2 linked regions of the Lonchura striata genome follow. The protein of the gene in region 1 interacts with the protein of each later gene in a biochemical or structural test. Links are inferred from orthologs where the notes say so. Each region holds a gene or a part of one and is shown in the gene's direction. Other genes may lie near its edges.

Region 1 (3,743 bases):
GGCTGTCAGCACTGGGACAGAGAGACAGAATCCCAGAATGGTTTGGGTTGGGAAGGACCTCAAAGCCCATCCAGTGCCAGCCCTGCCATGGCAGGGACACCTTCACTGTCCCAGGCTGCTCCCAGCCCTGTCCAGCCTGGCCTTGGGCACTGCCAGGGATCCAGGGTGGGCACCCTGTGCCAGGGCCTGCCCACCCTCCCAGTAAAAATATTTTCCCTAATCTCTCACCTAACCATGCTCTCCTTCCATTTGAACAAACAGCGAGGTCAGGCTGCTGAACTCCTGCGTTTCACTCGCTGCACGCTGCCGAGGCCACTGCGGCTCCTCGGGCAGCACCAACGGGGCTCACAGCCGGCTGGATGGGTGGGTGGGCGGACGGGCAGAAGGACGGACGGACAGAGGAGGGGTGGGTGATGGGTGGGTGATGAAGGGCGGCTGGATGATGAAGGGCGGCTGGATGATGAAGGGTGCCTGGATGATGAAGGGTGCCTGGATGATGAAGGGAGGCTGGATGATGAAGGGTGCCTGGATGATGAAGGGTGCCTGGATGATGAAGGGAGGCTGGATGATGAAGGGCGGCTGGGTGATGAAGGGTGCCTGGATGATGAAGGGAGGCTGGATGATGAAGGGAGGCTGGGTGATGAAGGGTGCCTGGACGCCGCCGCCGCTCCTCCCCCGGCCCGTCCCGTCCCGTGCCCGCGCTCCGCGCCGCCTCTTGCGGCCGCCCCGCCGGGCTCGCAGCTGACGGGGGCAGCCCCTTGTTTACCGGCCGGGGCGCCGCCAGCCCGGCCTGCGCTGCGAGGGGCCGCCGGGCCGGGGCCGACTCCGCGGGCAGGGAGGGGCCCGGCGCTATAAAGGGGCTCCGCGGGGGCTCCGCGGCGATGCTCGGCCGGGCCCGGCCCCCGCGCCCGCCCCGCGGGCTCTGATTCGCGCCGGGCGGCGGCAGCGGCGCGGGATGGGACCGAGAGCGGCGGCGGCCGCGGCGGCGCTGGCCGTGGCCGTGGTGCTGGGAGCCTGGTGCGGCCGCGGCCGCGGCGAGAGTGAGTCGGGGCCCGGCCGGGAGGGCTGGGGGGCTGCGGGCGGCGGCGGGGCGGGCCCGGGCCCGCCGTGCCCTTTGTACCTGCGCGGGGCCCGCGGGCAGCGCGGCCCGGAGCGCTCCCGGGTCACCTTCAGCCCCGGCCCGGCCCGGCGGCGGCCGAGATTGGAGCGGCACGGCCGGGAGGGCAGCGGCGGCCCCGGCTCTCCCGGCCCGCGGGGCCCCGCGCGGGCGGCGCCGGGCCGGGGTCAGCGGGGCCGCGCCCGGGGAGGGGCACGGGCCCCTCTGCGGAGCCGCTCCCCGGCCCTTCCATGGGCACTTCCCCCGTTCCTTCCCCGGTTCCTCCCCGGTTCCTCCTCGGCTCCCCTCCCCGGGCCCTGCCAGGGTCTCTTCCTCAGTCCCCTCCCCGGTCCCTTTCCCGGTCCCCTCTCCGGCCCCTTCCCTGGGTCCCCTCCCCCGATCCACTCTCCGGTCCCTTTCCCGGGTCCTGTCCCGTGTCCCTTTCCCGAGTCCTGTCCCGTGTTCCTTTCCCGGGTCTCTCTCCCGTGTCCCTTTCCCGGGTCCTGTCCCGTGTCCCTTTCCCGGGTCTCTCTCCCGTGTCCCTTTCCCGGGTCCTGTCCCGTGTCCCTTTCCCGAGTCCTGTCCCGTGTCCCTTTCCCGGGTCTCTCTCCCGTGTCTCTTTCCCGGGTCTCTCTCCCGTGTCCCTTTCCCGGGTCCTGTCCCGTGTCTCTTTCCCGGGTCCTGTCCCGTGTCCTTTTCCCGGGTCCTGTCCCGTGTCTCTTTCCCGGGTCCTGTCCCATGCTCCTTTCCCGGGTCCCTCTCCGCTCCCTCCCCGGTCCCTTCCCCAGTCTCTTCTCGGGTCCTTTCCCTGATCCTTTCCCCGGTTCCCTCCCCAGTCCTGTGCCCCTGCCGCTGCTCGGCTGCCTCAGAACCGGCTCCGGTTTCAGGAGGGTTTAGTGTGGCCAGACGCGGAGGTTTTGTCTTTAACCACTTTTAGGTAGTGTGCCAAATCCACAGGTATTAAGATGGGAGAGCTCCAGGGGAAGGCTCTGTGTGTACACAGGGGCTTGTAAAATACTGGACAGGGGTATGAAGATGTTGTGTTGGAGGTCACAAGCTTGTTAAACCTGCGGCTAGCTCCAGGTTAAGCCTTACGAGTTGTTTTGATGGGTTATGTTAAATAAACTTGCTCAGGAAATCCTTTTAATGGGAGGTTCTTTAATTTTGGGCGATTCTTGCCATTTTTTTTGACAAAAGGAAAATATTTATTTAAAGACAGCTAACTGGATCCGTGGGTCATGTCTCACATAGACAATCTACCTGTTGGCTTTCCCTTCAGAAAAGGCAAGAGCAAGAGAATCAGTTCAAGTACTGACAATACAGTGATGGACATTATTGGGATGTGTATGGGATTCAGGGAATAAGGCAGGATGCTCCTGTAAGACAGCCTCTTTTTCCAACAATAGGACAAATCACGTATTTCAAAAATAACCCAGTTTCTTCCCTCACACGTTTGAAACCTCACAAGAGTCCGGTGACACTGTGTTACCTTGGGAGGGTCAGTCCCAGCTGCTGTGGGCAAACCTGCCCGCCTCCAGCAGAGATGGAAAAGGCAGTTGACATATAGCACTAATAATAAATAAATACGTGTGCAACTGGAGTCCAGCAGTTCCTAATTTGAAAACACTATTATTACTGCCACGGCGCAGCCTGTGATTTGGTTATTTATTTAAATCATATTTGCTTTTTGGGGTTCAAGCGTGTCTATGTTCTAAACTCCCTAATCTTTGCTGTGTTACAGCGTGGTAGGAAAATGTTCTCTTGAGTTCATGGATGGAGGAACAGGGGCACAAGACAGCAAAGCAAAGCGTGGGCTGGAACATTTCCATATCATTTTTACTGTGCAAATATTTCATGAAATATTCTACAGACAGTTCGGACCGTCGGGGTTTTGATGTTTGAACGTGATTTAAAAGGTTTTCAGCTGCTCTGGTGTTTGATTCTATTTTCTGGGGGCTTGGCTCAGTTTTCTGGGAATGGTGAGGTCATGGAGCACCACAGTGGGGATGGAAAACAGAAACAAAAAACCAGAGGGGGAAATGCACGTACAAGAGCTGCATGAGCAAACAAGTTGTTCCCTGAGCAACGGGTCTGATTGAGGCAGCTTTCTTGGAGATCTGTGCCCTGTGTTCCCACAGACAGGCTCTGCAGGTACAAAATTCCCCCCATCCATGGTTGTCCTTGTGTCCCATGTGTAAATGTCTCTCCCTTTTGGTGCCTTTAGGCAGCCTTGGAGAAGATTTGGGGGCAAGCAGCAGGTGGATGGAGGTTGTTCAGTAGAAAAATGGAGTGGATGGTAAAATTCACATTTCCATCCGGATTATGAGTTTCTCCTCCTCAATCCATCCCATTTTCCTAAATATTTTAGGAATACTTCATGTGAGAGCACTCTTCCTCTCTTACATGTGGTTAAAGGTAGTTACTGAGTTCAGGAGTTACTGAGAGAAGAAGAAAGGGTTAAGGAAAGAAGGCCTGACCTGTGCATAAAATGAAGATCCATATATCTTGTTTTGGGAAGAAAGACAGTTTTGTGTATTTTTTTTTAATGACTGTGTAAACATAATGCAACTTCTTGAAATAAATCTCGCACATGACTCATGCCTGTCAGTTCATTAGCTCTGGTATTTGGGGTGGGATTTACCTCACC
Region 2 (3,743 bases), on another chromosome or scaffold:
GATCTATCTGTACTGAAAGTTTCTTATGTAAGCATGTGGGGCTGTGATGCCAGCCTACTGTGAGTAGGTGCCTTCTTGCCTCTGGAGAAATCTCAGGCAGAATCTGATACCACCTGCATTCACCTTTTCACTAAATAGTAACCTGGACAGGAGACAGCTTCTGCTTTGGTGAGGCACCAACACTCTGAGGCTGGACCCACAAAACGCAAGATCAGGGTGAATGCTGGCTCACAGGAAGGCGGGACAAAGCAGCTTGGCGGTGGGAAGGGAGCGCTGAACGAGGCTGGGAAGTGACGGCCCCATGGACTGGGGCAGGACAGGACAGGACGGGCAGCAGTGATGCTGACAGACTGAAGAGCAACGCTCAGCGCTGCATCAAGTGGAGATGGCCGAGGGGAGCGCGGTGCCGAGGAGAGGCTAGGCGGCTGGTGAGCACGGTGAGCAGCGAGCAGGCAGCAGAGTGGCACGTGTGTCCAAGAGGCTGAGGTGACACATTGAAGGAGACTGGAGAGATTATTCGAGGACCTGAACAGGGAGAGCGAGTGGTGAGAACAGAGCGAGAACAGAGCATGGTTGGAAACAACGGGGACCGGAGTGTGGGCTGATAAGAAAAGCATTCCTTTATATACAGTAAAGAAGAGCCACGGAGGAAGAGAAAGCAAGAGCAAAGAAGGTATCATGTTACATTTCAAAATATATTCAGCTCGGGCGCTCAGCCACAATACTCCCATTAGTGTACATGCATCTGTCTAGGAAGAAAAGCCCAGAGATTTCTCCCTCTTCTCCTTGGACTCAATTGCCTTTTATAGAGTTGACCACTTTCTTATGAGAGGTGTTTTTGCATCTAGTGAAGTAAATATTCCTCTCCTCACAGAGTGTGACGGCTCTTATTGGAAGTCAATACGTTTTAAACCAGTAGCTCTTAGGGAAGCGTGCAGTTTTGCTTCCCTTAAAAGAGCTTTTCCACAGTCCGAGTTATTTGCAAGCTACTTGCAAATCGGATGGCTCGGAGCTACCGTGGTGCAATAGCGAAGGTCCCAGCGCACAGAAGTTCGCAGCAGCAGTCTGTAGGAGTGCTAGTGGCAGCCTGCGGATCCCGGGAGGGCAGGGTGCTTTGGAGTACGGAGGAGCTCTGAAGAGCCCACCGTACTGTCGGCACACACCGGGAGCCTGCTCCGTGCTGTCGGGAGCGAAGGAAGGGGATCTGGGGGACTTGCCCTGCGCAGTTTTGCGGGGAAAAAGGTGAGAACAGGACCGACGACTTTAAAGAAAAAGTCCAAGCACAAATGCCTCGCGTGTGCAGATGCTCTGTTGGTTTTATTTTAAAGAAAAAACAGCCTTTCCCAAGAAAAGCACGCGCCGGTGCTACCTGCGGGTGAGCTTTTGTTCGAGGGCAGGACACCCGCCACAGCTCCACGACGTGTCGCCTCCAGCGCCGCTCGCCCCGGGACGGGGGAGGGCGGGCAGGGGCGCCGCCGCCACACAGCCCGCGGCCGCCGGGGCTCCCGGCCGCCCCCTGCCCTCGGCGGGGCGCGGGCCGGGGCTGCGGCTGCGTGCGGCGGGGGCGGGAGCGGGGCGGGAGCGGGGCGGGGCCCGCCGGGAGTCAGCTGGGCGCGAGGGGAGAACGCGGCGGCGGCGGGCGCCGTTAGCACCGGAGCCGGCGGCGCGGACAGGCAGGCAGAAGTTTTCTCCGCAGACCCCTCCCGCAGCCTGGGGACGCCTTGCGGAGGCGCGAACGTCCCCGTTCGCGTTGGGTGTGTTTTGCTTTTTTTTTTTTTTCTTTCTTTTTTTTTTTTTTTTTTTACTTAATTGCTTTTTTTTTTTAATTGTATGGTTTTAAATATTTTTTCTGTTTTAATTTTTTCTTTTGTTATTGTTGGTTTTAAGGCGCGTGGCTCCGAGAGATCGCTCTCCCCCGCCCGCGCCCCACTCCACCCCTCCGCCCCGAGGATCCCCCTCCCCGCCCGCGCTCCCGTCCCCGCCGCGCACGACCCTTCCCCCGACCCCCTGCGCCCGCCCCGAACTTGGCGGGTGCGCGGCGCCCGGCGGGCACGGTGCCGGCCGCCTGCCCGCCCAGCAGGTAAGGGGCCGGGGGGCGGCGGGGGCGCGCAGGGGGGCGGCGGCCGCCGCCCCTGGGGAGCCGCAGCGGGGTGAGGCCGGGCCGGGGTGGGTGAGGGCTCGCCGGCTTCTTGGTAGCGGAGGCCGGTGGGAGGAGGAGGAGGAGAGCAAACTTCCTTTTCCTGGGGCCGCCGGCGAGCCCCCCCCTCCCAGTTCCCGTGGGGAGCGCCCCCCGCCCGGCGCGGAGCCCCCGGGGCCGGCCGGGGTTCGCCGGCGGCCTCGGGGTTCGGAGGATCGGCCCTTTTTCCCGTCTCGGGGCTTCCTTGCCGCGTTTTGTTCGCTCGCTGCTGCGCGCCTCGCCCCGGCGGTGCCGGGAGCCGGGCTTTCCCGTCGCCCCGCGCTGGAGGAGAGCGAAGACCTGCCCCGCCAACTGCTGGTGGTGCCGCTGAAACTCCCCGGTTTTCCCCCTGCTCCGTTTGGGGTTTGCGGGAGGGCTGGCGGATGGGCAGTTCGCAGAAATGCCACCCCGGGGTGCTGCCGCCTTCCTGCTCCTCCGCGGTGGGGATGTGCGGCGGCAGGCGGCCGTGTGCCCGCCGGAGAGCGGCCCTGCCGAGCTCCCGGCCGTGCCGACAGCCCCTCGTTAGCCCGGGAGACCCTCCCTGCGGGAAGCGCGGAGCTTCTCCTGCCCCAGCTCCCCGCCGGGGAGAGGCGGGTACCCGTGGCTCTCCTTGTATAACCGCGGCGCTGCAAGCCGGGGCTGAAACTGTGGCATCTTTATAAGAACAGTTTGCAGTTAATTGGTTTGGCAGATGAACTCCTGCACAATCCTCTTGCCCGCTTCTGTTGCTCAAGTGCCAGCGCCCCCTCCCACCCCTTTCCCCCTTTTCCCCGCTTTCCTTTGAAGCGTCGCATAACTCTGTATTGCCAGCAGGATGGAAAGTGCTGATTCAGCAGCCAGGAGCCCCACTCCATCTGAAGTGGTGGTCTGCCTGAAATGCTCCCATTTGTTGAAATGGGAACATGTGTTGCTGGTATGTCAAAGCAGCATTGATCATGTCGTCTAAAACAGACTCAAATAATGTGGTTTGCTTTTCTCTTCACCAAGACAGAATGAATTTGGGGTTGGGGCAAAGCAGGAGGGGGCAGAATAGAAGGGATGTGGGCATCTGCCACCTTCAGTTATGCTTCTAAGGGGCAGCTGAAATTGTTTTGCCTCTTAAAGGTGCATGTGTGTTTTAACAGAGATGTTGTGGGATGCATTAACACTCCAGCTCCATCTATTCTTGCGTTCTGAGGCTAGTAGTTGTACTTACAGCTCTAGAAAGGTACAGAGAAGGGCAACAAAGCTAATCCTAGGATTAAAACGTGTGCGTTACGAGGACAGGTTAAAAAAAAAAAAGCACCACAAACACATGGAGATTAGAAAATCTGCTTGGAAAAGAGGAAATATGCTTGAAACTTTAGATGAGAGCTCTGGCTGTGCTTCATGATGCTTTTGGGGCTGAAGCAGGGTGTGGGAGTTAAGCAGGATGCTCTTCCCATGCTATTAGTCTTCCTCCAGGGCTTAACCTCTCAGAGCAGCATAAGGAGGAGAGCTGTTCCAGAGCTGTATTCCTCTGGCTATCTTTGTACAGGTATACGTTAATATCAGAGCTGCCTGGGTTTTCTTTCGCTACTCCTGGACT

What was found.
Region 2: the proteins of INSR (region 1) and GRB10 form a complex in vitro, tested with the Homo sapiens proteins (5 studies listed by BioGRID and IntAct). The link is inferred for Lonchura striata from reciprocal best matches to the Homo sapiens genes INSR and GRB10.

What each region holds. Positions count from the first base shown.
Region 1 is NC_134630.1:3,807,486-3,811,228, reverse strand, and holds the start of INSR (insulin receptor), read left to right. Parts: upstream 1-943; 5' UTR 944-955; coding exon 956-1,040; intron 1,041-3,743. UniProt on the Homo sapiens protein: Receptor tyrosine kinase which mediates the pleiotropic actions of insulin.
Region 2 is NC_134603.1:69,037,972-69,041,714, forward strand, and holds the start of GRB10 (growth factor receptor-bound protein 10), read left to right. Parts: upstream 1-1,576; 5' UTR 1,577-1,754; intron 1,755-1,988; exon of another isoform or gene 1,989-2,080; intron 2,081-3,743.